Linked DNA regions of Stegostoma tigrinum. Each later gene encodes a partner of the first gene's protein in a complex. Links are inferred from orthologs where the notes say so. Each region holds a gene or a part of one and is shown on either strand. Other genes may lie near its edges.

Evidence for each region.
Region 2: tonsl (region 1) and mms22l share a complex: the UniProt entries of both Homo sapiens proteins name them as parts of the MMS22L-TONSL complex. The link is inferred for Stegostoma tigrinum from reciprocal best matches to the Homo sapiens genes TONSL and MMS22L.

Annotation. Positions count from the first base shown.
Region 1 is NC_081355.1:160,276,313-160,292,378, forward strand, and holds the start of tonsl (tonsoku-like protein), read right to left. Parts: upstream 7,333-16,066; 5' UTR 7,166-7,332; intron 2,176-7,165; 5' UTR 2,003-2,175; intron 946-2,002; 5' UTR 872-945; intron 376-871; 5' UTR 341-375; coding exon 241-340; intron 1-240. UniProt on the Homo sapiens protein: Component of the MMS22L-TONSL complex, a complex that promotes homologous recombination-mediated repair of double-strand breaks (DSBs) at stalled or collapsed replication forks.
Region 2 is NC_081357.1:51,711,124-51,727,296, forward strand, and holds the start of mms22l (protein MMS22-like), read left to right. Parts: upstream 1-7,762; 5' UTR 7,763-7,824; intron 7,825-12,464; exon of another isoform or gene 12,465-12,568; intron 12,569-16,173. UniProt on the Homo sapiens protein: Component of the MMS22L-TONSL complex, a complex that promotes homologous recombination-mediated repair of double-strand breaks (DSBs) at stalled or collapsed replication forks.

The DNA.
Region 1 (16,066 bases):
TTACAAAAAGCAGGAGTCAGGTGAATGGGAGTGTGTTGGGGAGTGGGACAGGTTACTCCAATATGATATTATTTAGCTCATCGCAGTTAACCACCCAGTGTGTGATTCTGACACTAATGATGCATCAATGGCCTAAAAATAGTGAGATACCGGCCTCAAAACACAAACCACTTCCACATCGAAGACTTTAAGTGGGCCTTCTTAAGACTAGAATTTTCTGCCTCAGCATTCTGAACTGACCTGTTAAGTCAAGGACATCCATCCATGATTCCCTCTGGGCTAAAGCAGTCAGGAGCCTCTCCATCCCACTGGTACTAATCCCTCGAGTTCTCCGATACATCAAGGCATGTGAGGGATGCAGCTGATGTCAAACACCTACAATAAGAGGGAGATAACTACCGAGTTCCATCACTCAGCTCAGGCCCATGGTCCGGATCCCACCGATCTCTGCAGCCAGCTGTGACTCGAGATGGAGCACAACTTCAGGAGAAGGATCTGACAACACTCAATATCGACAAGAAAGGGGACAGTGACACACCAGGCAGTGTCCCGATATCTCCCTGAGAGAGACACAGCACTGTGAGACACCAGGCAGTGTACCGAAATCTCCCTGATAGAGAGAGACAGCACTGTGAGACACTAGGCAGTGTACCGATATCTCCCTGATAGAGAGAGACAGCACTGTGAGACACCAGGCAGTGTACCGATATCTCCCTGAGAGAGAGAGACAGCACTGTGAGACACCAGGCAGTGTGCAGATAATTCACTGGATCATGTCTGGGAAACAGGCTGTGTTCTTGCTTGGTTTCTGACCTCACTGTTGGAGCAATTATATAAAAAGTCAGGGTGTTGAAAATGATTTCGAAATTACCTGGCAAAGTCCCTGATGGAGTCATAGGTCAATGAGTTTTTCGAAAGATTAAGGTGAGTCAAAACACAGCCTTCCTGGATTGTAGTAAAATATATTCAAGTCAATCAAACATGGAAATGAATCTTGTTATCGAGTTTAACTAGCAGGAATTCAAATTAATCGAATGATCAGCCAGCTCACTGAGACCTTGCTCCTTTAAGGAATGCTCAAGCATCTCTGATGGTAGCGAGTTTTGAGAAGATTTGTAGCTCAGATTGAGGTTCTGGATGTGAGTTTGCTCGCTGAGCTAGAAGGTTCGTTTTCAGACGTTTCGTCACCATTCTAGGTAACATCATCAGTGAGCCTCCGACGAAGCGCTGGTGTTATGTCCCGCTTTCTATTTATCAGTTTAGGTTTCCTTGGCTTGGTGATGTCATTTCCTGTCCTTTTTCTCAGTGGATGGTAAATTGGCTCCAAATCAATGTGTTTGTTGATGGAGTTCCGGTTGGAATGCCATGCTTCTAGGAATTCTCATGCGTGTCTCTGTTTGGCTTGTCCTAGGATGGGTGTGTTGTCCCAATCAAAGTGGTGTCCTTCCTCGTCTGTATGTAAGGATACGAGTGATAGTGGTAGACATCCCCAACCCAAGGAACCCTAACCAGATAAATAGAAAGCAGGACATAACACCAGCGCTTCGTCGGAGGCTCACTGATGATGTTACCTAGAATGGTGACGAAACGTCTGAAAACTAACCTTCCAGCTCAGTGAGCAAACTCACATCCAGATTTCTGATGGTAGAGTGTTAACATTGTATTCCAGGGACCCAGGCTAAACGTTGGGTCAGCATCTCTTACTGATCTGTATACAGCGAGTTACTTGCTAGGCCAGTTGAGAGGGCAGTTTGGAGACAGCTCTCTGTGGTTATAAAACCGTGCGTTTGTGTTACCACATACATAAAACAGCTGGAGCTGTCACACTGCGTAATGTGAGAACAGTGTGTGACAGCCAGCTCCTCACTGACATTTCCCACCACACTGGCTCAAGTAAGACAGTCTCTTTGAAAAAAACGAACAGGAAAGTACCTCAGCCAGAGCTTCGAGTGACTGTGGGACAGAGTGTCCGGCCCTGATAGCACCTAGTGTGATCCCTTACCTGGGTGAAGTACCTCGCAACCAGCTCCAGGAATTGCCTGTCCTGGTTACAGGATACTGAGGAGATCTCGAGATGTGTTAGGATGTCATGAGGAAGATTCTTCAGCAGAAACTGGACCCCTTTTAATCCCAGCTGGTTGTTGGAGAGGTTCAGAGTTTTCAGGTGCCTGGTCCCTGAGCGAGTAAAGAAGATAGGGTTAGGGACTGGGCAGTGCATCATCAGATGGACGAGGTCATTGCACTGTCACAGATCAGCTCAGGGAGGCTTAGAGCTGATCACCAACCCATAATAATAACTATCAAATAACTCATCCATTAACAGATTGAAACACAGCTAAAACATTCCAGTCAGAATGATTCCAATTCATTAGCGATGATGTACTTTTGAAATTAAAATCACAATTTATCTCGCAACACCAATACAGGGTCAGCGCTGACCGAACGCCGCACTGTCAGAGGGTTAGTGCTGAGGGAGCAGGCACTGTCGGAAGGTCAGTGCTGAGGGAGCGGGCACTGTCGGAGGGTCAGTGCTGAGGGAGTGGGCACTGTCGGAGGGTCAGTGCTGGAGGAGTGCTGCACTGTCGGAGGGTCAGTGCTGAGGGAGCGAGCACTGTCGGACGGTCAGTGCTGAGGGAGTGGGCACTGTCGGAGGGTCAGTGCTGGAGGAGTGCTGCACTGGTGGAGGGTCAGTGCTGAGCGAACGCCGCACTGTCAGAGGGGCAGTGCTGAGGGAGCACCGCACTGTCGGAGGGTCAGTGCTGAGGGAGGACCGCACTGTCGGAGGGTCAGTGCTGAGGGAGCGCCGCACTGTCGGAGGGTCAGTGCTGACGGAGCGCTGCACTGTCGGAGGGTCAGTGCTGAGGGAGGGCCGCACTGTTGGAGGGTCAGTACTGAGGGAGTGGGCACTGTGGGAGGGTGAGTGCTGAGGGAGCGGGTACTGTTGGAGGGCCAGTGCTGAGGGAGTGGGCACTGTTGGAGGGTCAGTGCTGGAGGAGTGCTGCACTGTCAGAGGGTCAGTGCTGAGGGAGCGCCGCACTGTCGGAGGGTCAGTGCTAAGGGAGTGGGCACTGTCGGAGGGTCAGTGCAGAGGGAGTGGGCACTGTTGGAGGGTCAGTGCTGGAGGAGTGCTGCACTGTCAGAGGGTCAGTGCTAAGGGAGTGGGCACTGTCGGAGGGTCAGTGCAGAGGGAGTGGGCACTGTCGGAGGGTCAGTGCAGAGGGAGTGGGCACTGTCGGAGGGTCAGCGCTGAGGGAGCGCCGCACTGTCTGAGGGTCAGTGCTGAGGGAGCGCCGCACTGTCGGAGGGTCAGTGCTGAGGGAGTGTCGCACTGTCGGAGGGTCAGTGCTGAGGGAGGGCCGCACTGTTGGAGGGTCAGTACTGAGGGAGTGGGCACTGTGGGAGGGTGAGTGCTGAGGGAGCGGGTACTGTTGGAGGGTCAGTGCTGAGGGAGTGGGCACTGTCGGAGGGTCAGTGCTGGGGGAGTGGTCGCTGTCGGAGGGTCAGTGCTGGGGGAGTGGGCGCTGTCGGAGGGTCAGTGCTGAGGGAGTGGGCACTGTCGGAGGGTCAGTGCTGAGGGAGTGGGCACTGTCAGAGGGTCAGCGCTGAGGGAGCGCCGCCCTGTCGGAGGGTCAGTGCTGAGGGAGTGCCGCACTGTCCGAGGGTCAGTGCTGAGGGAGCGCCGCACTGTCCGAGGGTCAGCGCTGAGGGAGTGCTGCACTGTTGGAGGGATCAGTGCTGAGGGAGTGGGCACTGTCAGAGGGTCAGCGCTGAGGGAGCGCCGCACTGTCTGAGGGTCAGTGCTGAGGGAGCGCCGCACTGTCGGAGGGTCAGTGCTGAGGGAGTGGGCACTGTCAGAGGGTCAGCGCTGAGGGAGCGCCGCCCTGTCGGAGGGTCAGTGCTGAGGGAGTGCCGCATTGTCCGAGGGTCAGTGCTGAGGGAGCGCCGCACTGTCGGAGGGTCAGCGCTGAGGGAGTGCTGCACTGTTGGAGGGATCAGTGCTGAGGGAGCGGGCACTGTCAGAGGGTCAGCGCTGAGGGAGCGCCGCACTGTCTGAGGGTCAGTGCTGAGGGAGCGCCGCACTGTCGGAGGGTCAGTGCTGAGGGAGTGTCGCACTGTCGGAGGGTCAGTGCTGAGGGAGGGCCGCACTGTTGGAGGGTCAGTACTGAGGGAGTGGGCACTGTGGGAGGGTGAGTGCTGAGGGAGCGGGTACTGTTGGAGGGTCAGTGCTGGGGGAGTGGTCGCTGTCGGAGGGTCAGTGCTGGGGGAGTGGGCGCTGTCGGAGGGTCAGTGCTGAGGGAGTGGGCACTGTCGGAGGGTCAGTGCTGAGGGAACAGGCACTGTCAGAGTGTCAGTGCTGAGGGAGTGGGCACTGTCGGAGGGTCAGTGCTGAGGGAGTGGGCACTGTCAGAGGGTCAGCGCTGAGGGAGTGCCGCACTGTCCGAGGGTCAGCGCTGAGGGAGTGCTGCACTGTCCGAGGGTCAGCGCTGAGGGAGTGCTGCACTGTCCGAGGGTCAGCGCTGAGGGAGTGCTGCACTGTTGGAGGGTCAGTGCTGAGGGAGCGCCGCACTGTCGGAGGGTCAGTGCTGAGGGAGCGCCGCACTGTCGGAGGGTCAGTGCTGAGGGAGTGGGCACTGTGGGAGGGTGAGTGCTGAGGGAGCGGGTACTGTCGGAGGGTCAGGGCTGAGGGAGCGGGCACTGTCGGAGTGTCAGCGCTGAGGAAGTGCTGCACTGTTGGAGGGATCAGTGCTGAGGGCCTTGTTCACCCCCAGTCGAACATCAGCACCTCCATATCACGAAATGTGAAGTTATACACTTAAGTGTGAAAAACAGACAGGAAGTGAGTGTATCATTTAAATGATGACATTTAGGGAGGTGTGTATGTGCAGTGGGATCTGGGGGTCCTTGTTTACAGCCAGTGAAAGTAGATGGGCAGATGCTGCAGGGAATTAGGTAAATTAGCCTTTGTTGCAAGAGGACTTGAGCTCAGAAATAGGGATATCTTACAGTAGATATACACAGGGCCCTGGGGAGACCTTGGTGAGGTCTCCGGGCCTAAGACAAGATCAGATGTCACACAACACCAGGCTACAGTCTGGCACTTCGTTTGAAATCACAAGCTTTCCCAGCTCTGCCCCTTCATCCGGTCACCTTGATTTATTGTCACGTGTATCAAAATGCAGTGAAAAAGCTTTGTTTGCGGGTGGTACAGGCAGATCATAGCAAGAAGTACAGATCAAAAAGACTGAGGTACACAGGTTACATTGCACAGGGCAAGCTCAGATCAACGTTAGCAAGATCAGCATTATTTGAGTCTGGAGGGTCCATTCCTCAGTCTGAGTACAGCTGGCAAGACGCTGTTCCTGAACCTGTGCATGTGCGCGTTCAGGCTTCTGTGTCTTCTGCCTGATGGAAGAGGCTGCAGGAGAGCATTACCGGGGTGCGATGGGTCTTCAATGATGTTGGTCGCCTAATGAAGGGGCTATGCTCTGAAAGCTTGTGATTTCAATAAACCTGTTGTTGTGTGATTTCTGACCTTTTCCACCCCAGTCCAACACCCGCGCTTGCACATCATTCTTTGGAAAAAACATAGTTGCCACGAGGCAATTTCTGTAATGTTCTGGAGTGGCAGATGGAGTTTAACCCTGAAAAGTGTGAGGTGATTCATTTTGGAAGGACAAACTTGAAAGCAGAATACAGGGATAACGGAAAGATTCATAGCACTGTGGAGGAGCAGAAGGATCTTGGGGCTCATGTTCACAGTTCCCTGAAAGCTGCCACCCAGGTGGATAGCATGGTTAAGAAGGCGTATGGTATGTTAGCTTTCATTAGTAGAGGGATTGAGTTCAAGAGCCATGAAGTTATGCTGCAGCTGTACAAAAGCCTGGTTCAGCCACATCTGGCGTATTGTGTCCAGTTCTGGTTGCGTCATTACAGGAAAGATGTGGAAGCATTGGAAAAGGTGCAGAGGAGATTTACCGGAATGTTGCCTGGAATGGAGGGAAGATCTTACGAGGAAAGGTTGAGAGAGCTCGGGCTTTTCTCTTTAGAATGACGAAGGATGAGAGTTGACTTGACAAGTGTACAAAATGTTCAGAGGTATAGATAGAGTGGACAGCCAGAGACTTTTTCCTCGGGTGAAGGTAGCTATTATGAGGGGACCTAGTTTTAAAGTGAGTGGAGGTAGATATAGGGGAGGTGTCAGGGGTAGGATCTTTACAGAGAGTGGTCGGGGCGTGGATTGCCAGAGAGGGTAGTGGAGTTGGCCTCATTAGGGGCATTTAAGTGGCTATTAGATAGGCATATGGATGATAGTATAAGGTAGGGGTGGAGGTTTGATAGACCTTAGGATTAGGGTAAAAGTTCAGCACAACATTGTGGGCCGAAGGGCCCGTGCTGTGCTGTTCTATGTTCACAAGACTGATAGAGAGAATTAGCAGATCTGTCGTAAGAGGAGAAAGTGGTTTGAATGGGCCTGTTGAGAAGGATGAGAAATGTATAAAATTCTAACAGGATCGGGCAGACCAGATGCTTAGGGACTGAGATGAAAAAATATTTTTCACCCAAAGGTTAGGAAAGGTGTGGAATATTTTACCATGAGGGCTGTGGAGGCCAGGTCACTGATCGCATTCAAGAAAAAGATCGATATGTTTCTAGGTTTTAAGGGTATGAAGGGGAATGGGGAGATATTGGGAATATGGGATTTAGATAGAGGATCGTATTGAATGGTGGTGCAGTATTGAAGGGCTGAATGGCCTCCTCCTGCTCCTAGTTTCTCTGTTTCCAAGTGAGTGTGCACTTTCCCAGGATGGTCTGCCTCTAACTCCGTCCTTGTCCTCTGTGCAAATCCCTGGGACTGGGATATCAGCCGTTCCAGCTGGAGACTCTATCTAATAGAGTCACACAGCACAGAACAGGCCCTTCGACCCAGCAACTCTGTGCTGACCGATCTACACCAGTGACACTTCACAGCGCTGGGCTCACAGCATTGAAAGTTGTGATATTTCAAATGTCCATCCAAGTACATTTTAAAAGGTTGTGTTTCCCATCTCAACCACCGACCCAGGTACAGCATTCCAAACTGCTGTAACTGTGCATGGAAACTCCTTGCGCAAAGCTGAGGGGGAGTCAAGGTGTTGTCACGATCTGAGTTCTATCTGTCTTGTACCTTTCACTGTGCAGGTCAGAGCGAAGTTCTGCAGGAACTTGGCTGTGAGCCCACAGGCCTGGAGTTTGAGTGTGCTCAGTAGAGGGCAGGATCTGATGAGAGAGGCTACAGACTGAGAGCAGCCATCACCCAAAGGATTGAGGCTGAGGTTCAACTCCTCCAGACTCTGAAACACAAAACAAAATTCAGGCTGTGAATTATTTTGAGTGTAAATTAAGACAGTGCTATGTCTCCCCTGGCACCCACCACTGTGCTCTGTGTTAATTGTACCACTCAGGTTAAAAATCTTGGGAAAGTCACTTCTGCCAGACTGAAAACAAAAAAATAAATGCTGGCGATCACAGCAGGTCAGGCATTTCTCTCTGTGGTTGCTGTCTGACCCGCTGTGATCTCCAGCATTTGCCGTTTTCAGCACACATCCTGGCACCTGCAGCAATTTGTTCCTACATCGTCCTAGCAGACCTTCCGGATTGTTCTCTTGTGGCAGGAGAGACCAGGATCTGAGGGCCCGGCCTCAAGGGGAGAGGACTGAGACGAAGAGGAATCTCTTCAGCCAGAGGGTGTGGAACTCACTGACACAGAGGGCTGCAGGGGCCAGGCCATTGAGTGTATTTCAGACAGAGGTGGGTAGGGTCCTGGTGAGTGAGGGGTTGGAGGGCTACAGGGAGAAGGCAGGAGAATGGGGTTTAAAAAAAATGTCAGATTGTGATTAAATGGTGCAGCACACATGGGCTGAGTGGCTTAATTCTGTTGCTGTGACTGGCTGTCCATGCTCATATCCCAAGAACTGAATCAAACTGGAGAGTAGTTTGAGATAGAGCTGAACCTATGTTGCTGGATACAGTGATAATAGGAACTGCAGATGCTGGAGAATCTGAGATAACAAAGTGTGGAGCTGGATGAACACAGCAGGCCAAGCGGCATCTCAGGAGCACAAAAGCTGATGTTTTGGGCCTAGACCCTTATCAGATGATCAGATTCACCCTTCCTCTGATGATGGGTCTAGGCCCGAAACGTCAGCTTTTGTGCTCCGGAGATGCCGCTTGACCTGCTGTGTCCATCCAGCTCCACACTTTGCTGGATATAGTGGTGAATTGGGTTGCTCTATCCCAGTGATCAGAGCATTGAGCAGCGTGCACTGTTGCCTGGTCTCCATCTCGGTGCTTTAGTAGAGCCAGGCATAACCCGATTGCTCCAAGAGGCCATCTGACCCATAGCCCTGCGTTCGCTCCTAAAAAGATGTTGTCCAGTTGCTCCCACTCTCCTTGCTAACGCCTCATCAAAACACTTACTAAGTTTGAACACCTCAATAAGATCTCATCAGTGTCCCCGCATGCACTGAATTCCCTCAACCCTCTGCACATTTCCCTCAGCAACTGATAGAAACAACGTCCTGGAAGGCAGGGGGTAGGCGGGTTCCGTTGGGTGTGTCAGGCTGTACAGGGGGGTAACGTCGGGAAGCTCTCCATCACACAGAGGGGAGTGGGGATCTGGAACCGTCCTCAAGCTCGACTGGGGGCAGCTGAAGCTGTCAGACTGAGACGGATAAATTCCTATCACTAAAGATAATTGAGGAAAACAAAGTAATGCCATGTGAGTGGAGTCGGGATACAGATCAGCTGTGATCTGACTGAATGGTGCGAACCACTGAAGGGGCTGAATGGCCTCCTCCTATCCCCACGTAGACTGGCAAGATCTCAAACCTGAAAAGCCGGATCCTCGTTTGGTCTGCTGGTCTCACCGAGAGTCCTCAGGCCTTGGTGTGTGATCTGATTGGAGGAGAGGTCCCGTACGGCCAGGTTGGGCATGGTCACCAGCTCCTCCATGGCGTCGTCACCAAGACGATTGGTGGAGAGGCGGAGCTGGCGGGTGGTGGTCTGCAGTTTGAGGGCCCGCAGGATGGGGGTCAGGTGCTCCTTGGTCAGCGACAGGCTGGATAAATCCACACAGGAATCTTTCTCCTGTAGCTGGAGAATCTTGAACATGGATGGGTGCACAGCTGCAAGCAGAGAGAGACACAACAAGGTTATTACAGCAACTGATAATACCCTGTCTTCGGAGAAAATCCAACTGTGGCACATCCCTGTTGCAACTGTTTATCCCTAACTGCCCCAGAGCAGAGTGTCTCACTCACCCAGTTCAAAGGACAGATAGGAATCAAGCACATCGCTGTGGGTCTGGAGTCACGTGTAGGCCAGACCAGGCGAGGATGGCAGTTTCCCTCCCTGAAGGGCATTATTGACCCAGATGGGTTTTTATAATTGATGATAACTCCCTGGTTCGCCATCACTGAGACCTGCTTTCACTTCCAGGTTTGGAGTCAGCCATGCAGCACAGAAACAGATCCTTTGGTCCTACCTGTCCATACCAACCAGGTATCCAAAAGTGATCTAGTCCCATGTGCCAGCATGTGGCCCGTATCCCTCTAAACCCTCCCTACCCACATACCCATCCAGATGCCTTTTAAACGCTGTAACTGTATCAGCCTCCACCACTTCCTCTGGCAGCTCCTCAGGTCCCTTTTAAATCTTTCCCTCTCACCTTAATCCTATGCCCCTCTAGTTTTGGACTCCCCCGCCCCAGGGAAAAGATCTTGACTATTTACCCTGTCCATGCCCCTCATTGATTGGTTCAAAGCTGGTGGAAATTTCCCAAATGGGAAGCCTGGATCCCTGGATAATGATGGCCGAGTGGTACCATCGCTAGACCAGAGACCCAGGTAATGTTCGAACAGGTTCAAATCCTGCCATGGTAGATGGTGGAATTTAAATTCAGTCAAATTCTGGAATTGAACACATAATGACGATGACCATGAAAGCAGTGGCACGAGTTATAAAATCCCATCTGATTCACTAATGTCCTTTGGGGAAGGAAACTGCCATCCTTACCTGGTCTGGCCTACATGTGACTCCAGACCCACAGCAATGTGGTTGACTCCTAACTGCCCTCTGAAATGGCCAAGTGAGATTCTCAAGTGAACTGAGACCCTAAGAAACCTCAAAAAGGAATGAAACAGACAGGCGACCGGGCATCACTGAAAAAGCACTGCAGAGTCCTCCTCACTAACAGCTGGGGTTTAGTGCCAAAATGGGGAGAGCTGTCTCACAGACTCGTCAAGCAACAGCCTGACACAGTCATACTCACCAGATCATACCTTATAGACAGTGTCCCAGACACCACCATCACCATCCCTGGATATATCCTGTATCACCAGCAGGACAGGCCCAGCGGAGGTGGGGGGGGGGGGGGGCACAGTGGGATACAGTCGGGAGGGAGTTAGGGAGTCCTCAACATGACTCCAGATCCCATGAAGTCTCATGGCTTCAGGTTAAACATTATTGGGTCCTAAAGGACATCGCTGCTCGACTGGGTCTGCTGCAGGTGGTGAGGGAACCAACAAGAGGGAAACACATACCCGACATAATCCCCACCAATCTGCCAGCTGCAGATGCATCTAAATAGAACATTGAACATAAAACAGTACAGCACAGCTCAGGCCCTTCGGTCCACGATGCTGTGCCAACCTATTATCCTACTCTAACATCAAACTATCCTGCATACCCTACAGTTTACTATCCTCCATTCGCCTATCCAAGAGTCACTTAAAAGTCCCTAAAGTATCTGACTCCACTACCGCTGTCGGCAGTGCATCGCACATGCCCGCCACTTTGTGTAGAGAACCTACCTCTGACATCTCCCCTATACCTTCCTCCAATCACCTTAAAATTATGCCTCTCGTGATAGTCATTTCTGCCCTGGGAAAAAGTCTATGGGTATCTACTCCCTCTATGCCTCTCATTTCTCCGTCAATGACAGTATCGGTCAGAGTGACCATGGCACAGTCCTTGTGGAGATTAAGTCCTACCTTCACATTGAGAATAACCTCCATCGTGTTGTGTAACACTATCCCCGTGCTCAATGGGACAGACTTCACACAGATCTAGCAACTCAAGACTGGGCATCCATGAGGCGCTGTGGGTCATCAACAGCAGCAGAATTGTACTCCAGCACGATCTGTAAGCTCATGGCCCGGCATATCCCCCACTCAACCATTACCATCCAGGCAGAGGATCAGACTGGTTCAATGGAGAGTGCAGGAGGGCAGGCCAGGAGCAGCACCAGGGATACCTGAAGATGAGCTACCAGCCTGGTGAAGCCACCAAACAGGATTACTTACACACCAGACAATGTAAGCAGCGAGCGACAGACAGAGCTAAGCGATCCCACAACCAACGTATCAGATCTAAGCTCCGCAGTCCTGCCACATCCAGCTGTGAAAGGTGGTGGACAATTAACAACTCACTGGAGGAGGAGGCTCCACAAATATCCTGATCCTCAACGATGGAAGAGCCCAGCGCATCAGGGCAAAAGATAAGGCTGAAGCATTCGCAGCAATCTTCAGCCAGAACTGCCAAGTGGATGATCCATCTCTCCCTCCTCCTGTGGTCCCCAGCATCACAGATACTAGTCTTCAGCCAATTCGATTCACTCCACGTGATATCAAGAAACAGTTGGAGATACTGGATACTGCAAAGGCTATGGGCCCTGATAACATTCTGCAATAGTACTGAAGGCTTGTGCTCCAGACGCTCCCCTACAAGAATTGTTTATCTTTTAAATACATTCATGAGATGTGGGTGTCACAAACTGGGCCCAGCATTTGTTGCCCATCCCTGACTGCCCTTGAGAAGGTGGTGGTGAGCTGCCTTCTTGAACCACAATAGACCAGCTGCTGTAGGGATAGCCACACTGCCCTATGGCAGGGAATTCCAAGCTGTTCCAGCACAGTTACAACACTGATATCTACCTGACAATATGGAAAATTGCCCAGATATGTCCTGTACATAAAAAGCAGGACAAATCCATCCCGGCCAATTACCATCCCATCAGTCTCCTCTCGACCATCAGTAACATGATGGAAGGTGTCAGTAACAGTGCTATCAAGCAGCTCCTGCTCAGCAATAACCTGCTCAGTGACGCCCAGTTTGGGTTCCGCCAGGGCCACTCAGCTCCTGACCTCATTACAGCCTCCGTTCAAACATGGACAAAAGAGCTGAATTCCAGAGGGTGAGGTGAGAGTGACAGCCCTTGATATCAAGGCTGCATTCGACCGAGTGGCATTAAGGAGCCCCAGCAAAACTGGAATCAATGGGTATCAGGGGCAAACCGTCTTGTGGTTGGAGTCAGACCTGACACAGAGGAAGATGGCTGTGGTTATTGGAGATCAATCATCTCAGCTCCAGGACATCTCTTCAGGAGTTCCTCAGGGTAGTGGCCTGGGTCCAACCATCTTCAGCTGCTTCATCAATAACCTTCCCTCCATCATAAGGTCAGAATTGGGGACGATTACACAATGTTCAGCACCATTCGTGGCTCCTCAGATACTGAAGCAGTCCATGATCAAATGTAATATGATCTGGATAATATCCAGGCTTGGGGCTGATAAGGGACAAGTAACATTCGTGCCACACAAATACCAGGCAATGACCATCACTAATAAGAGACAATCCAATAACCACCCCTTGACATTCAATGGTGTTACCATCACTGAATCCCCCACTATCAATATCCTGGGTATTAACATTGAGCAGAAACTAAACTGGACTCACCACATAAACAGTGGTTACAACAGCAGGCCAGAAGCTGGGAATCCAGCAGCGAGTAACTCACCTCCTGATCCCCAAAGCCTGTCCCACCATCTACAAGGCACAAGGCAGGAGTGTGATGGGATACTCCCCACTTGCGTGGATGGGTGCAGCCCCAAAAACACTCAAGAAGCTTGACACCATCCAGGAGAAAGCAGCTGCTTGATTGGCACCACATCCACAAGCATCCACTCCCTCCACCACCAACGGTCAGTAGCAGCAGTGTGTACGAGCCACAAGATGCACAGCAGAAATTCAAAGATCCTCAGGCAGCACCTTCCAAACCCAGAACCACTTCCATCCAGAAGGACAAGGGCAGCAGAAATATGGGAACACCATCCCCTCCAAATTCTCCTCCAATACACTCACCATCCTGACTTGGAAATATATCGCTGTTTTTTCAGTGTCACAGGGTCAAAATCCTAGAATTCCCTCCCTTAGGGCTTTGTAGGTCTAGCTATGGCACATGGACTGCAATGTTTCAAGGAGGCAGCTCATCAACATCTTCTCAAGGGGCAACTAGGGACGGGGGGCAATAAATGCTGGGCCCAGCCTGTGATGCCCATATTACATGAATAATAAAAATAAACCATCAGCCATTTCTGAAGAAGGGTCTAGGCCTGAAACGTCAGCCTTCCTGCTCCTCTGATGCTGCTTGGCCTGCTGTGTTCATCCAACTCCACACCTTGTTATCTCAGATTCTCCAGCATAGGCAGTTCCTACTATCTCTCAACACTACAACAGCATCTCCCCTTTAGACATGGACCTAAATCAATCTATGAACTGTCGGTACATTTGGGGGAGGTAGATCTAAGGGGTAGGTTTGTGGCAGGTTTGGAAAGTGCTACCGAAGGATCCTTGCTGCAGTACATCTTGTGGATGGTGCACAGAGATTTCTCAGACCTGTGAATAAAATGTTATTTCCGTTGTCCTTACCTCCTGCCAGACTGTCACAGGCCCTCTTATACCGTTCGGAGAGTGGAGGCAGGTCCCAGGACGTGACCTCAGCCAGGACCTGAAAAACATCAGAGTGCCTCTTGAGTGTATTCCCTTCTGACGGAAGCAGCATTTCTCCTGGAGCAATCGGTGACCCTTAGAACACAGAACACATGGTCCCAGTGCATAAGGCGACCAAAACCTGCCCTTCTGAATTCAATCTGAACCTGCAATACTGCAGGTTCACTATCCAATCGTTACAGTTCAGAGGCCATTCGATCCATTGTGCTGGTGCTAGGCCTCCCCTCGGGTGCAGTTCATATTCATATTCCACCCCACATCCGTGCACAGTCCTCGTCTGGGGGTATTTGGAGTATTCAGAAACGTGCTGCAATGGCAGGGAGACCTTCTGCATCTATCCTCATCGGGACCTGGGTAACAGGGCTTCAGCTCAATGCCACGTTCCAGCTGTTGGCACATGGCCCAGGAGGTGATGGACCTTGAGGTGTAGATCCAGGGTGGGAGGTGGTGGCCGAGTGTGGGGGATTTGTGAACCCATGCTGTTTGGCATTGCAAAGCGGCTGGCCCGGGTAGGGTCGGGGAGCTCTGCTGGCCGGTATGGCTGCTTTGCGATGCCAATAGTGTGGTTTCAATTCCCACACCAGCTGAGGTCACCATGAAAGACTCTGCTTCTCCACCTCTCCCCTCACTTTCTGGTGAAACCATCACCTGGCTGACTGTCTCGTGATTGAGGGGCCCCTATGGTCCTCTGGGGCTGCGGTGACGTTGCCCGTCCCGTGGTTGCGGTCACCTCCTCGTTGTCACGGAGAAGGTTGATGATTGGTTCGTGTGGAGAGAGCAGCGCTCCATCAAGGGTTAGAGAGAGCCGGGGTCGCACACCACACTCGGCACTGTATTTCCTTGCCGCTTCCTCTGCCCGCCACCAGATGGTGCATGTGTCCAACTCCCTGAAACCAGAACCGCACAGAGCTCTTCAGCTGCGGTAGGCTCACCTGCCTTCCTCCAGCCCTGTGCATGGAGGGAGCAAATGACTGCAGAGGCTGGGGTGTGTGCCGAAAGCGGCAAATGCCGGAGATCACTGCAGGTCTGACAGCAGCCACGGAGTGCACCAACTAACCGTATCTACCTGAATGATTCTTCATCAGAGCTGCAGCGAAGTGAGGAGGGGACAGCATTAATGGCGGGTGAATGGGGGGGGGGGGGGTGCGGTGCTGCTGGTTGTAGAGCGCTGGTGGAGGAAAGGTGTTGATAATGTGATAGTCAACATCTTTTGTCTGCCAGCCAGCATCCTGCAGCCACTACCAGCAGCAGCAGCCTCCCTCCCACCCTCTTCGCCAACGCCCCCCACACCCCCAAATTCTAGCCGAACCATTCCCACAGGAAGTGGTTCACGCCACACATTGAATGTACTCAAGAGGCAACTAGATCCAGCACTTGGGGGTGAATGGGATCTACGGAGAAAGCGGGATTAGGCTGTTGACCCACTGTGACCCAGTATTAGTTACTTGCTCCAGCTTACTGCAGGGTATGGGAACAGCTCGAAGGTCCCATTGCAGAGTCACACCCCATCTCCTACCTTTGAGGGACCCCAATTTCAAAGCGTTTCTTTTTCACTTTCACCTTCACTCAAAACGCTGGCATCAGCAGCGGTGCGTACGGTACACGGGGCTGTGAACACAATGAACAAGACTTAGGGAGCCATCAGAGCACCGGAGGCCAGGAATCTCACCCAGTCCCTGCTGACTCTCTGTAGAGAAACCCCCTCCTCCCCACGACCCTGTATTCCACCCACCCACCCCCAAGTACCCATCCAAATTCCTCTCGAAATCGCTCACCGTAACTGCTCGCCCCCACCCTCAGGCTCCTCGCTCTCCCATGCATCTTTGCTGAGATAGTCAGGAAGGCGATGTAGGGTTACCGGGAAAAGGCAGGAAAGTGGAGTGACGATTATCAGATCAGCCATGATCTCAATGAATGGCAAAGCAGGCTTTTGATGGGCTGAATGGCCCAATTGTGCGTCTACACCTTATGGTCTTTCACCCTACAGGTTGCTATCTGGAAATGAACAACGCAATGACCTCCTGACTGCCCTCACTGAATCTGCCCCCAGCAAACTAAGAATGCTTTAATGAAGGGATGAAAGCGGGAGAGGGTCAGGGAGGGAATTCCAAAGTTTGGGATTAGCAGCTGAGGCCACTGTCTCGGATGGTTGAGAGGTACTGAATGATGAAGAGGCCAGAGACCATGCCCTGCCACCATCCCCCCCTTCCCAAGGCTCAGGGGAGCCAATGGCCTTGTG
Region 2 (16,173 bases), on another chromosome or scaffold:
ATTCAACTTTATAAAATAAATAAATTCTGTGCTAGATGGACTGTTATCTGAGACCAAAGCTTCTGGGAGTCCATGTATTGCAAAAGATGCACACAATTTTCTTACCGTTGTTCCTGTGCTGGACAAGTGGACGCTATGCAGGTCCGGCCATTTTGGTGGACATCCAAAATGACAAAGAACATTGAGCCCATGAAAAGACCTGCATAGTCGATGTGTAACCGAGTCCAGGGTTTACCCAGCCATTCCCACGAATCTGTGGAAGTTGCTGGTGGTAATTTTTGTCCTTGTTGGCGCTCTGGGCACTGCTCTACCAATGCAGCTATATATGCATCCACTCCTGGCCACCAGGCATAACTACTCACCAACATCTTCATTTGGAAACCCCTGGATGAACCTGATACATTTCAGCCAACACCTGGCAGTGACCTTTACTTGGGGAAGTCATTCTTGCTCCCCATAATAACATGCCATCCTCCACTGTGATCTCGTCTGTGCAAGTCCAAAAAGGTTTTGGTTCTGGTTGTGACAGCCCATTGATAACCCCCATCACCATCAGCTGTTTCAGTTTTGCCAGGACCACATCTTTCTGCGCCCAAAGTCTGATATTGTCAGCTGTGACTGAAAGTGCACCCAGACAATTCAAAACCACTGTGTGCTCTTCCAGTGGTGGTACAACTGGTGGTGTATCTGCCAGCGGGAGGTGGCTCAATGCATACACATTTGCTACTTGATCTCCTGGACAGTGTTCCAATTTGTAGTTATACGCACTTAATTTTTGAGCTCTGCTGAATTCGGCCTGAAGCAATGGGCAACACTGCCTTGTTCTCTTTAAGTGGTCCTGGCAGAGGTTTGTGGTCCATTGTTATTACAAACTGACATCCATAAAGGTATTGGTGGAACTTCCTTACTCCAAATGGGACCGCCAAACCTTCCTTCTCTATTTGGGCATATTTACTCTCTGCATTAACCAAAGTCCTGGATACATATACTAATGCACATTCCTCTCCATTGGGCCACCAATGAGCTAATGCTACTCTGGTGCCATAACAGAAGGCATTGCATGTCAATACCAGATCTCTTGGGATCATAGTATGCCAATGCCTTAGTGGATGATAACTGTTTCTTCACTTCCCTGAAAATTATGGCTTGTCTATGTGACCAATTTGAAAGTTGACCTGTTTTTGAAAATTGATACAGAGTTTCCAGGATGGAGGCCAGGTTATGTATGAACTTTCTGTAATAATACACCAGCCGAAGGAAAGACTTAAGCTCCAGTCCAGATGGGGGAGCGAAGATACATTTGATCGCCCTCACTTTATCTCCCAATGGGTGTAACCCAGTCTTGTTGAATCTGCAGCCAAAGTAGGTCACTTGGGGTTCCTGGAACATACATATTTACCTTCCAAGGCAGAGACAAGCCTGGGAGAAATGTTAAAAGACTGTGTTCAAGTTCTCTAAGTGCTCCTTATTGGTCTTCTCTAGATCATCTAGATAAATGGCAACCTGGGGATGACTTTGTAAAATGTTTTCCATCATCTGCTGAAAAATTATACAGCTGACGATACCCCAAATAGCAGTCTTGCATTACAACCACCACAATCACTGGTAACTGAACCAGCTGCTTCTCAGAAAAGACTAGAACTGAAGTTGTAACCTTAATCTGTAAAGGCTCCCCACTGTAGATTTTCAGTCTGGCTGATGTCTTGCACAAATGTAAGGGTGGAAGTCCAGACCGAATGTTGTTAAAGTCTGGTTTTGCGATCACCGAAACAGCAGCCACCGGTATCAACCTCCATTAGAACCGGGTGACCATTTATCCAGATTGGTTAAATACTTTGATTGGTTCTGATTTGGATGTCGCTAAGCAATTTAACTGCTCCAAACCAGATGTAGGTGGACTTTTCAGGGTGTGCATTTCCCCAGATACCGGCCTAGGAATTCTCTTACTCAATTTATGTCTAGTGGGACTCATTTGCCGTCTCGAGTCTGCATAGCGGCAGCAAATATAAGGCTTGTTGGCCAGGACCCTGAAGAAAATTTTAACTGTTTGGCCAAGCTTGCCATTGTTTTGGGATTTTGCTGTGGGTTAACCGAGAGTCCCTCTGTTCAGGATATATCGTGAGTTAGGCAATGCAATTGCCTTCACTCAGGTGGTGTTCCCCAAGCTCAGTTGGCCTGTCGAGTGTATCAACTTCTTTTGGAATACCCTGCAACCTATATGCTTCACTTGTCACATTTTTCAATGATAAATCCAGTTGTAGTACCTGTTTGAAGCCCAATTGGGCTTCAGCTAGTAGGTGCTTTTGCATGGTTACATCATTAATCCCACATACCAAATGGTCTCTCATCATCTCATTAAGGATTAAACAAAAGTCACATACCTCTGTGAATCATCTTAACTGAGTCAAAAATCCCAATTCAGATTCCCCTGGTTCTCAAATTGCTGAGGAAAACCAATGGCGTCTCAAAATTAGAGGTGGTTTGGGGATCATAATATTCCTTAGCTCAAGGCATCAGTTTTGAAGGGTTTTGGTATCTGGTGCCTCAGGGAAAGTTAGACTCTTAATAATTGAAAACACTGTGAGTCCACAAGCTGTCAACAGAATTACCTGCTGCCTTTCATCTGCCCCATTTTAATTTGCCTGGGAAAAAAAAATTCCACATTCTGGACCTAGTCCTCGATGGCAGGAACAAGTGAGTCAAGCCTTCAAAATATTAACATGATGCCAGAAATGCTTTCCCACACTCAAAGGTGACGATTGCACATGGATTTCTTCAGAGTTGTGCTTTACTCTCATCATCACTGAAATAACTCCAGAGAGGCCAGTATCCTGTCACCGAGTCACCCTTTATTTACACATGCAAAGGCCTTGACACTGATCCAGCTCCCGCAGAGCCAGTTCTTAGAGTGACAAGATGTCTGACACTACTGTTTCTATCTGTCAGCCAGGGCTCCTTGATTGGACCAGATTAATTGTCCCAATCAGGGGACTCATATTCTATGGGTCCAACTGGCTGACTTTGTTCTAATCACTGCTTGTCCAACCAGTGATGTCCATAACCTATGAATGGATAAATAAAAACACAAAACCTGGAACCATTGTAAACTGTCAATTACAAATCTAAAATTTAAGAAAATGAAAGGTAGAAATACTAAGATGGTCAAGCGGCACCTCTGGACAGAAAATTGGGTTTAACATTTCAGGTCTTGACTTTAATCAGAGCCTTCTGCCATATCAGAAACCCAGCAATGGATACAATACTCCAACTGGAGCTGAACAAGTGGTTTGAAAAGGCTATCATGATTCACAACCTCGGCCATTGTATACTGTAAGAAGGACAGTGTAAAACTACAAAAGGACAGCCTGGTGGAGTGATTAGACAGGTGGCAGACAAATTTGAATGTGGAGAAGTGGCCATATTGGTGGAAAAAACATGAAGAGGCATTGTAAACTTAAAGTTACTCCCCTAACATGTATGCAGGAACAGAAAGGTCTGAGTGTATGTGTTAGTCAAAGTGACAGCACAGGGAATTAATAAAGCATTCAATATCCTAGCCTTTATAAATAGAGTCATAGAGTACAAGAATAAGGAGGTTACACTGAACTTGTAAATGACACTAGTTAGAACTTGGCTCGAGTATTGTGTACTGTTGTGTACATCACACAACAGGAAGAATGTAAACACATTGGTCAGAATATCAAAGAGGTTTAAAAAACATGGTTCCAGGGCTCAGCAAAGATAGATAAATGAACTTCTGGCTGAGTTGCTTGGAGAGGAGAAGGCTAACAGGAGACTTGATGGCGATGTTCTAAATCATGAGGCTGCTGGGCAGAGTAGGTTAGGAGAAACTGTTCTCACTCAATAAAGGATTGAGAATGAGCTGTGTGATATAAAGTAATCTGCAAAAGATACAAATGTAATATGGGGAAAAAAGTCTTTTTCACATAGGGAGTACTTTGGGTCTGTAATGCATTGCCTGGAATTGTGATGGAGGCAGGTTCATTTAAGGCATTTAAGAGGGCATTGGATTAATAATTAAACAAAAACAATATTCAAGGTTACAGGGAAAATGGGACTAAGCCAAGATGCTAACTCAGGTGGCAGATACAGACACATGAATAGCCTCCTTCTAACCTGTACCAGATCCATGATTCTGAGTTGTTTTCTAGCTTAGTGGAGAATGAATAAAATTTTGAATGTTCCAAAATTTATTTTGTCTACATTACCACTGTCACATTACTTTAAGAAACAGAACGTTAAGTATGTTTTTTTGTCCAATCAATCTTGAGTTTCTTTAGCTATGAAATTGATGTTCTCTGAATCTCACACTTGATAATAACTGAAATTGTTACCTATTTGTCTGTTTTCTGGATTCATACCCCTAGGCAGATAAATGCATTCAGCCACCTCAAATGAATCCTGTTCATTGGGCTAAGTAATTTTGAGGAAAAGCTTCAGCAGTCAACAAAGTGCATGAGTACAGTGCATCCTGAGTAAGTATGGAAAACTTTAATCTGCTCAGCAATTCAGTTTGTGTACTGTACTTTGACTTGAGTATTTTTTATTTGGTGCAATAAAAAAGTATTAAAATTATTATGTTAAAGTTTGTGTTCTTTTCTCATATGCTTTTGTATAATGCGTTACAACCAATTGTAAGGAAAATGTCCATATTTTTGTATTCCCTTTCATCGCCTTTCAGGAGTTTGATTAAAAGTAGTGAAAGGCCTACAAGAAGGTGAAAATAATGAACAACTCAAATTTATCGAAAATAGTTTTGTTTTTAGCTTTGGAATGAGTAAATTACTAAGCAAACTTGTTGACCATCAGAGAAGCTGGACCAAATTTTATTGAAATTTTCATAGCTATGCCATGTGATCTAGTATATGTCTATGACCGTTATTCCATGAATAGGATTTATCGGGTAAGTGGAAACTGAGCATTCACCCTAATTTGTTCACTTTACCTTGTTTGATTCACCGACTGAAAACAACCTTGAAGATAAAACAGGCATTTGTGAGTTGGTCAGATTTAAATACTGGGAGCACAGAACTCTTAAAAAGAAAAAATGTATTTCCAAGCACAGCATGTAATACAGTTGTTGTCATGCTGTTGATTAAATTCTGTAAGATGATATTCCCTCATTTACAGGAAGGGTAAATAACAAGTCTGATTTTCTTGCCATGCAAAATTGATTAAGAACAGCAGGAGAACAAATTTACTTGGAATCACATTAACTGTGGACAATCTAGTTGGAACCTTAGGACGATGCATATTCACAAGATACATATAATTTATTTAGTAAAGCAGCATTAAACTGCATAGCAAGATACCCAAAGACCCTGTGATTTTAGTTGAAATAACCACAGGCCGATAATGCTTTTTGATACACCACAAGCTGGCTGAAAGTCTCAGTGGACTATCCAGGAAGATGCAATTTCATTAGTTACACCATATACTGTGTTTGAAATATGTGTTCCAGCAGTTTAGCATCCAAGTACTGTGTTATGGAAAACTAATTACTGAATCACTAAGAGCTCCATAATGTCCTGCATTAAGTATCACACATCATACATAATGCATGTAAGGCAGCCTCTGCACTCTGATTACAGAACACTGTCATTAAGTGAGCAAATTAAAGATGTGAATAATTCACCGAGTGAGCTTACTTGTCAGTGCTGTGTTGTAAAATTAGAAATTCTAATGGGTGCTGCAATTTTTCTTTCTCGGTTGATACAAAGAGCAATGTTGGGATGCATTGGAAAATTAAAGATAATTGTCTTATTTCTTTGCCTGTCCACTCAGTTTCTGTATTTTGTATGTAGGTCGTTTTATTTCAATACACTTACCCATGATTTTGAGATAATTTTTACTTTTGTCGGTAATGATTATCAAAATAATTCTGCTTTGCATAATAAAATTAATCAATTCATGATATTATAAATTATATTGCACAGTAAAGGAACAAAGATAATCTTATATGATATGTAAATACAGCCACTCAATGACAATAAATTAAATGCTATTATTCCCAATAATGTTTTCTTTTCAACAATACAAACATTTGGTTAGTCAGTAAAGAAATTACACGGTTGTTTTCTCTAAGGTAGTTGTTAGCAAAAACCGTCACCCTTTGCCTTGGCATTTCATAAATGTACTGCAAAACAAAAATCAGTCATTGAAAATCTAAATAAGGCCTTAAAATATATTAGGTCATACAGTACCTCTTACCTCAGTTCCACATAATGCTGAGATTTATTTCTGCGGATCTTCTCTAAAGCCCAGAGACAGGGACAGAGTCCACTTGACCGCACATAACAGCATATCCACCAAATGCTCCCAGCTGTCAGATGAATTATTATCAATACAAACAAAAATATATTCCCCTCTAGAGAACTCTCTTTCCCTCAGTCTCAAATATTTGTGCCATTTCCTTCGGCGACAAGAACGAAGAAAACACGGAATGCTGTTGCCCATTGCGAATCTGAAAAAGTCCCGGCTGATTTCCTCAAATTACTGGCTGACAGGACATCTTGAGAGAAGAAGAAAAAAAATTGTAGACATTAGAGAGAATGAATCCTTTTCTGTAGAATCAGGGAAGCTGCATCAGATTTCTCTCCGTGTTTGTCTTTTTTTAATAAGGAGGGGAATGCAGACAATAAGAGAGAGGGAGAGAGGGCTGTCAGTGCCGATAAATCTGCATATGGAAATATGGGTTATCCTGGGTGCAATTTTATTTAACTGTGATGTACTGTTTTTTAATTAGACAAGAACACACACAGAAAGAACCCCAGCGAGGTGCAGTGATGGGCAGCTCCTCACGCGGAGTTACACAAACTACAGACACTTTATTTAAATGCAATACATTCATTTTGTTCTCCAAGTTAAAGCGATTAAAAAATTATGGAAATTATTCAGTTAACACCGTCTTCATATTCAGCATGACTGCACTGCATTATTCAGCATCATTGTCACAGTGAACAGAAGTGATTGAGTTATGCACAGTAAAAGTTTAGCAGTCTGGTTTCAGAAATTGACAGAAATATTGAATTAAAGCAATCAATGATAGGCTTGATTATACATAATAAATTATTTAGAGGCCAAATGCGTTTTAGTATTTATTTTAAACGTGATTATTCCATTAGGAAATGTGTGTGATATCACCCAACCAATAGTTTAAAGTCATAAAAGTAACAGGGGTCTGGACTTTTGTTTATATGGGTTGATCAGTTACAGATCCAGCAAGATCTCGGATTATATTCCAGCTGATTGCTGCTGAATGATGTGTTTCGCGAATCGATGCACTCATAATTTGGGGTTATCATGTACATTGCCTTACACCATCTAAACAAACGCGTTTTACACAATTTTTCAAAAATGATAATTAGATCGCATTTCATGGATCAAACGCGACTGAAGTCAATTCACGTCCTTGATCCTCTGGGTTTCTCCGCTTAGAGATCTGTTACAAAAGGACAACATACAATGTTGGAAGAACCTTAACGAAAAATTCCCGTCCGTGCACGAACATGAAACAATGTAAACACAGAACATGATGCATATCTGAATCCCTGGGACCCTTTGTGGTGATTGCTGGGACAGAGATAGGAGATTTTCGCCTGCATTCCAGCCCGGTCATTTCAGACGCTCCCTCAGCTGGGGGCGCGCTTCTGACGATTCATACAAATCTCGACCAATCACAAGGCCGCTGCACAAAGGCCCTGACCAATCACTAACGGAGAGGTGTGCATGCGCGCAAAAACGTCACTCGAAACGCGGGAAGCCGGAAAAGAAACAGGCGGAAAAAAGAATCTGGCGACACAGGTATAGGTCCTACAGACTGGAGCTGAGACCTGTGCAGGGACAGATCATACAGACTGGGGTTGAGACCTGTACAGGGACAGATCATACAGATTGGGGTTGAGACCTGAATAGGGACAGATCATACAGACTGGGGATGAGACCTGTACAGGGTGAGATCACACAGATTGAGGCTGGGACCTGTGCAGGGACACATTATACAGACTGAGGCTGAGACCTGTGCAGGGACAGATCATACAGACTGGTGCTGAGACCTGGACGGGGACAGATCATACAAACTGGGGCTGAGACCTGTGCAGGGACAGATCATACAGACTGGGGCTGAGACCTGTGCAAGGACAGATCATACAGAGTGAGGCTGAGACCTGTGCAGGGACAGATCATGCAGACTAGGGCTGAGACTTGTGTAGAGACAGATCATACAGACTGATGCTGAGACCTGTACAGGGACAGATCACACAGACTGGGGCTGAGACCTGTGCAGGGACAGATCATACAGACTGGGGCTGAGACCTGTGCAGGGACAGATCATACAGAGTGAGGCTGAGACCTGTGCAGGGACAGATCATACAGACTGGGGCTGTGACCTGTGCAGGGACAGATCATACTGACTGAGGCTGAGACCTGTGCAAGGACAGATCATACAGACTGGGACTGAGACCTGTAGAGGGACAGATCACACAGACTGGGGCTGAGACCTGTAGAGGGACAGATCACACAGACTGGGGCTGAGACCTGTAGAGGGACAGATCACACAGACTGGGGCTGAGACCTGTAGAGGGACAGATCACACAGACTGGGGCTGAGCCCTGTACAGGGACAGATCACACAGACTGAGGCTGGGACCTGTGCAAGGACAGATCATACAGACTGGGGCTGAGACCTGTGCAAGGACAGATCATACAGAGTGAGGCTGAGACCTGTGCAGGGACAGATCAGACAGACTGGGGCTGAGTCCTTTACAGGGACAGATCATACAGACTGGGGCTGAGACCTGTACAGGGTGAGATCACACACATTGAGGCTGTGACCTGTGCAGGGACAGATTATACAGACTGAGGCTGAGACCTGTGCAGGTACAGATCATACAGACTGATGCTGAGACCTGTTCAGGGACAGATCACACAGACTGGTGCTGAGACCTGTACAGGGACAGATCATACAGACTGGGGTTGAGAACTGTGCAGGGACAGATCACACAGACTGGGGCTGAGACCTGTGCAGGGACAGATCATACAGACTGGGGCTGAGACCTGTAGAGGGACAGATCACACAGACTGGGGCTGAGACCTGTAGAGGGACAGATCACACAGACTGGGGCTGAGACCTGTAGAGGGACAGATCACACAGACTGGGGCTGAGACCTGTAGAGGGACAGATCACACAGACTGAGGCTGAGACCTGTTCAGGGACAGATCGTACAGATTGGGGCTGAGACCTGTGCAAGGACAGATCATGCAGAGTGAGGCTGAGACCTGTGCAGGACAGATCATACAGACAAGGGCTGAGACCTGTGCAGAGACAGATGATACAGACTGGGGCTGAGACCTGTGCAGAGATAGATCATACAGACTGGGGCTGAGACCTGTACAGGGACAGATCACACAGACTGGGGCTGAGACCTGTAAAGGGACAGATCACATAGACTGGGGCTGAGACCTGTAAAGGGACAGATCACACAGACTGGGGCTGAGACCTGTGCAGGGACAGATGATACAGACTGGGGCTGAGACGTGTGCAGGGACAGATCATACCGACTGAGGCTGAGACCTGTATAGGGGCAGATCATACAGATTAGAGCTAAGACCTGTACAGGGACAGATCATACAGAATGAGGCTGAGACCTGTGCAGGGATTATCATACAAACTGGGGCTGAGACCTGTACAGGGACAGATGATACAGACTGGGACTGAGCCCTGTGCAGGGACAGATCGTACAAGCTGGGGCTGACACCTGTGCAGGGACAATTCATACAGACTGGGGCTGAGTCCTGTGCAGGGACAGATCACACAGACGAGGGCTGAGACCTGTAGAGGGACAGATCACACAGTCTGGGGCTGAGACCTGTAGAGGGACAGATCACACAGACTGGGGCTGAGACCTGTGCAGGGACAGATCGTACAGACTGAGGCTGGGACCTGTGCAAGGACAGATCATACAGAGTGAGGCTGAGACCTGTGCAGGGACAGATCACACAGACTGGGGCTGAGACCTGTAGAGGGACAGATCACACAGACTGAGGCTGAGACCTGTAGAGGCACAGACGATACAGACTGAGGCTGAGACCTGTTCAGGGACAGATCGTACAGATTGGGGCTGAGACCTGTGCAAGGACAGATCATGCAGAGTGAGGCTGAGACCTGTGCAGGACAGATCATACAGACAAGGGCTGAGACCTGTGCAGAGACAGATGATACAGACTGAGGCTGAGACCTGTGCAGGGACAGAGCATACAGACTGGGGCTGAGACCTGTGCAGAGATAGATCATACAGACTGGGGCTGAGACCTGTACAGGGACAGATCACACAGACTGGGGCTGAGACCTGTAAAGGGACAGATCACATAGACTGGGGCTGAGACCTGTGCAGGGACAGATGATACAGACTGGGGCTGAGACCTGTGCAGGGACAGATCATACCGACTGAGGCTGAGACCTGTATAGGGGCAGATCATACAGATTAGAGCTAAGACCTGTACAGGGACAGATCATACAGAATGAGGCTGAGACCTGTGCAGGGATTATCATACAAACTGGGGCTGAGACCTGTACAGGGACAGATGATACAGACTGGGACTGAGCCCTGTGCAGGGACAGATCGTACAAACTGGGGCTGACACCTGTGCAGGGACAATTCATACAGACTGGGGCTGAGCCCTGTGCAGGGACAGATCACACAGACGAGGGCTGAGACCTGTAGAGGGACAGATCACACAGACTGGGACTGAGACCTGTAGAGGGACAGATGATGCAGAATGAGGCTGAGACCTGTTCAGGGACAGATCATACAGATTGGGGCTGAGACCTGTGCAAGGACAGAGGATACAGAGTGAGGCTGAGACCTGTGCAGGACAGATCATACAGGCTAGGGCTGAGACCTGTGCAGAGACGGATGATGATACAGACTGGGGCTGACACCTGTGCAGAGATAGATCATACAGACTGGGGCTGAGACCTGTACAGGGACAGATCATACAGACTGGGGCTGAGACCTGTACAGGGACAGATCATACAGACTGGGGCTGTGACCTGTGCAGGGACAGATCATACCGACTGAGGCTGAGACCTGTATAGGGGCAGATCATACAGATTAGAGCTAAGACCTGTGCAGGGACAGATCATACAGAATGAGGCTGAGACCTGTGCAGGGATTATCATACAAACTGGGGCTGAGACCTGTACAGGGACAGATGATACAGACTGGGACTGAGCCCTGTGCAGGGACAGATCGTACAAACTGGGGCTGACACCTGTGCAGGGACAATTCATACAGACTGGGGCTGAGCCCTGTGCAGGGACAGATCACACAGACGAGGGCTGAGACCTGTACCGGGATAGATCACACAGTCTGGGGCTGAGACCTGTAGAGGGACAGATCACACAGACTGGGGCTGAGACCTGTGCAGGGACAGATCGTACAGACTGAGGCTGGGACCTGTGCAAGGACAGATCATACAGACTGGGGCTGAGACCTGTGCAAGGACAGATCATACAGAGTGAGACTGAGACCTGTGCAGGGACAGATCATGCAGACTAGGGCTGAGACTTGTGTAGAGACAGATCATACAGACTGATGCTGAGACCTGTACAGGGACAGATCACACAGACTGGGGCTGAGACCTGTGCAGGGACAGATCAGACAGACTGGGGCTGAGTCCTTTGCAGGGACAGATCATACAGACTGGGGCTGAGACCTGTACAGGGTGAGATCACACACATTGAGGCTGGGACCTGTGCAGGGACAGATTATACAGACTGAGGCTGAGACCTGTGCAGGGACAGATCATACGGACTGGGGCAGAGCCCTGTGCAGGGACAGATCATACAGACTGGGGCTGACCCCTGTACAGGAACAGATCATACAGACTGGGGCTGAGCCCTGTGCAGGGACAGGTCACACAGACTGGGGCTGAGACTTGTTCAGGGACAGATCACACAGACTGGGGCTGAGACCTTTGCAGGGACAGATGATACAGACTGGGGCTGAGACCTGTGCAGGGACAGATCGTACAGACTGGGACTGAGACCTGTGCAGGGACAGATCATACAAACTGGGGCTGAGACTTGTGCAGGGACAGAACATCCAGACTGGGGCTGAGACCTGTATAGGGACAGATCATACACACTGGTGCTAAGACCTGTGGCAGGGACAGATCGTAGAGAGTGAGTCTGAGACCTGTGCAGAGACAGATCATACAAACTGGGGATGAGACCTGTACACTGACAGATGATACAGACTGGGACTGAGACCTGTGCAGGGACAGATCGTACAAACTGAGGCTGACACCTGTGCAGGGACAGAACATACAGACTTGGGCTGAGCCCTGTGCAGGGACAGATCATGCAGACTGGGGCTGAAACCTCTACAGGGAGACATCATAGACCCTGGGTTTGTGACCTGTACAGAGACAGATCGTACAGATTGGGGCTGCGACTTGTAGACAGCAGCAGGATCATTTATACCATGGCTGAACCTTGTGGGCAGGAGCAACCCATATGGACTTGTGCTGGTTTTAGCAGGCTGATGGTGAGACTTTTACGCAGGCATAAGTCTTATACAGGATATTGTAGACTGATGCTAAGCCTTATGGTTGGAAGCAGGTCAGATAGACTGAGCCTGCTTCTTATACACCGTGCCATTCATCAAACATCCATCTGTTCTAATCCACGGCCTGTAGCCTTGTATGCTGTGGCAGTTCAAATGCTCATTCAAACTGTTCTTCACTGTTTTGCCGATTCCTGCCTCTCCCACCCTTTCAGACAGCACATTCCACATGCCTACAATCTTTTGGGTGAAAAGTATTGTCCTCAAATCAGCTCTAAACCTCCCGCTCTTTACTTAAAACTACGCTCCCTAGTTACTGACCTCATTTTTATTGGAGAAAAGTTCGGTTCCATCTGCCCTCCCTGTGTGCCTTCGAACTTTGTTCACCTCAAACAGGCGCCCCCCTTAGCCTTCTCTGCCCTCAGGAAAATTGCACCAGCCTGTCCGGTATTACACCCTAGCAGTTGATTCTGAGACTGGAGTCCTGAATCTAAAGAAAGAGAACTACAATTGTAATAGGTGTGAACTAACTATGATAAATTGGGGAATGTTATTTAAAGAGCTGATTTATGTTAATTGATTTTATTGTCACGTGTACTGAAATACAGTGAAAAGCATGGTTTACAAGCGGTACAGGCAGGTCACAGCAAGCAAAAGATGTACAGATCACAAATACGTGGAGGCATACCGGTTACGTTATTTGAGGTAGAGTCCATCCAACAGTCTGATAACGGCTGAAAAGAAGTTATTCCTGAGCCTGCTCGTGCGTGTGTTCTGCTTGATGGAAGAGGTTGTAGGAGCTCATTACTAGGATGCAGTGGGACTTTGATGATGTTGGCTTCCTTTCCGCAGCAGTGGGCTGTGTAGATAGAGTCCATGGATAGAAGGTTGGCTCCCATGATGGTTTGGGCTGTGCACACCACCTTCTGTAGTTTCTTAACAGTCCTAGGCAGAGCAGTTGCCATATGAGGCTGTTATGTATGTGGACAGCATGCTTTCAGTGGCTCATTTGTAGAAGTTGGTGAGGGTCCTTATGGAAATGCCATATTTCCTGAGCTACCTGACGAAGAAGAGGCATTGTTGTCCCTTCTTGACTGTTGTATTTACGTGGTAGATAAGCAATGGCAATCATTTAAAGAACTCATGGAGGAACTGCAAAGACTTACTCCTGTTTGGCACAAAAACACAATGAGAAACGTGACCTGACCAAGGCTATGAAAGAAAATTACGGATAATGTTAGATCCAAGGACGAGGTGTGTAAATTGTCGAATAAAGAAGTAGCAGACCTGAGGATTAGGAGCAATTTAGATTTCAGCAAAAAAGGACAAAGGTTTTGGTTAAGAGGGAGAAAATAGAGTGTTATGGTAAGCTAGCAGAAAATGTATTAACTGATTGTACAAAAGCTTCTATTAGTATGTGAAAAGAAAAAGATTAGTGAAGACAAGTGTTCGTCCCTTACAATCATAAACAGGGGAAAATATAATAGGGAGCAGAGATGGCAAACCAATTAAATATATATTTGTTCTGACTTCATAAAGGAGAATACAAATAATGCCCCAGAAATGCTGGGGAGCATAGGGTCTAGTGAGGAGGAACTGAACGAATTCGGTGTTCGTGGAGAAATAGAGTTTGGAAAGTCATCAGATTAAAGACAGATAAATCCCCAGTGACAGATCATTTGCAACCTCAAGTGCTTAAGGAAGTGGCACCAGAAATAGTGGATCCATTCCTGGTCATCTTTCAAGATTCTATAGACCCTGGGACAGTTCCTACAGTTTGGAGGATTGCTACCTCACTGTTTAAGAAAAGAGGTGAAAAGAAAACAGTGAATTATGGGACTTCTTAGCCTGACATCAGTAGTTGGGAAAATGTTCAAGTTCATTTAATATCAGTCTTGGAAAACAGTGACACAGTCAGCATGGATTCATGAAAGGGAAATCTATTGGTATTTATTTGAGGATGTAACTCGTAGAGTTGATAAGGGGAACGAGTGGATGAGGTTTACATGAATTTTCAGAAGGCTTTTGGTAAGGACTCTCGTAAGAGAACAGCATGTAAAATTAGAGTACTCAGGATTTGGGGTAATGCACTGATATGGATAGAGAGTTGATTGGCAAATAGGGAACAAAGAATAGGAATAAACAGGTCTTTTTCTGAGTTGCAGGCAGTGATGAGTGGAGTGGTGCAGGGCTCAGTGCTTGGTCCCCACTTTTCAATAATAAATGTTAATGATGTAGATGAGAGAACTAAACATAAGTTTGCAGATGACGCAGTGCTGGGTGAGAGGATGAGCTATGAAGAAGATGCACGACTTCTTCAGTATGATTTGGAGAAGTTCAGTGAATGGGCAAACGCATGGCAGATGAAAGATAAAGTGGATAAATGTGAGGTTATCTACTTCGGTTGTGAAAACAGGAATTATCTGAATGGTGATAGATTCATAAATGAGATAAAATGGGTACGGGGTGTCTTTGTGCCCCAGTCGCTGAAGTTAGTATGCAGGTTCAGCAAATAGCGAAGAATACAAATGGTTTGTTGGCATTTGTAGTGAGAGGATTTGAATAGAGCGGAAGGAATGTCTTGCTACAATTACACAAGTCTTTTTCTGAGTTGCAGACAGCGACTAGTGGAGTACTGCAAGTACAATTGCTTGGACCCCAGCTGTTCATAATACGTATTAATGATATAGATGAGTGAACTAAAAGTAGCTTTGTGGGTGTTACCACACCAGGAGCATTGTGTGGAGTTTTGATCTCAGTATTCTCTGAAGGTTGTTTTGGCTTTGAAAGGAATGCAAAATCTGATTAGCAGACTGATTCCTGGAATGGCAAGACTGACATATGAAGAGAGACTGTGTTGATTAGGAGAGTATGCACTGGAATTTAGAATAGTGAGAATAAAATTCTAACAGAAGTAGACAAAGGAATAATATTCCCAATGATGGGGAAACCAAGAATCATAATCCAAGGATATGGTTGGGCCATTTATGACTGAGGTGAGAAATTTCCTCACCCAGACAGTGGTGAGCCTGTGGAATTTTCTGCCACAGAGAGCATTTGAGGCCAAAACTTTAACGTTTAGAAGAAGCAGTTAGATTTCATTCTTAGGGCTAAAGGGTCAAAGTGTAAGGAGAGAAAACGAGAACGGGTTGTTGAGTTTGATGATCAGTCATGATCATACAGAATAACTGAGCGGGCTCGAAGGGCTGAATGGCCTAATTCTACCTCTGTTTTCTTTGCTTCTGTGTTACACCCTCAAAAACTCCAATTTTTTTTAAAACATGATTTCCCCTTCCTAAATCTTTGTTTACTTGACGTCATCCCGTTGATATTTTCTAAGTGCACCATTATTGCATTCTTTGGAATAGACTACGGCATTTTTCCTTTTACGAATGTTAAGACTAACTGGTGCAGTTGTATGTTTTATCTCACCCTCCTTTTTCTAAATCATAAAACATGACATGCGTGCATCTTCTCAACCGGAGAATTAGATGTTGTTTATTGGTGCTCTTTTATTATCGTCTTCCTTTACAGTCAATTAACAGATTATTATGCTTTGTGACATCATTGACCATTCGATGGCTTTG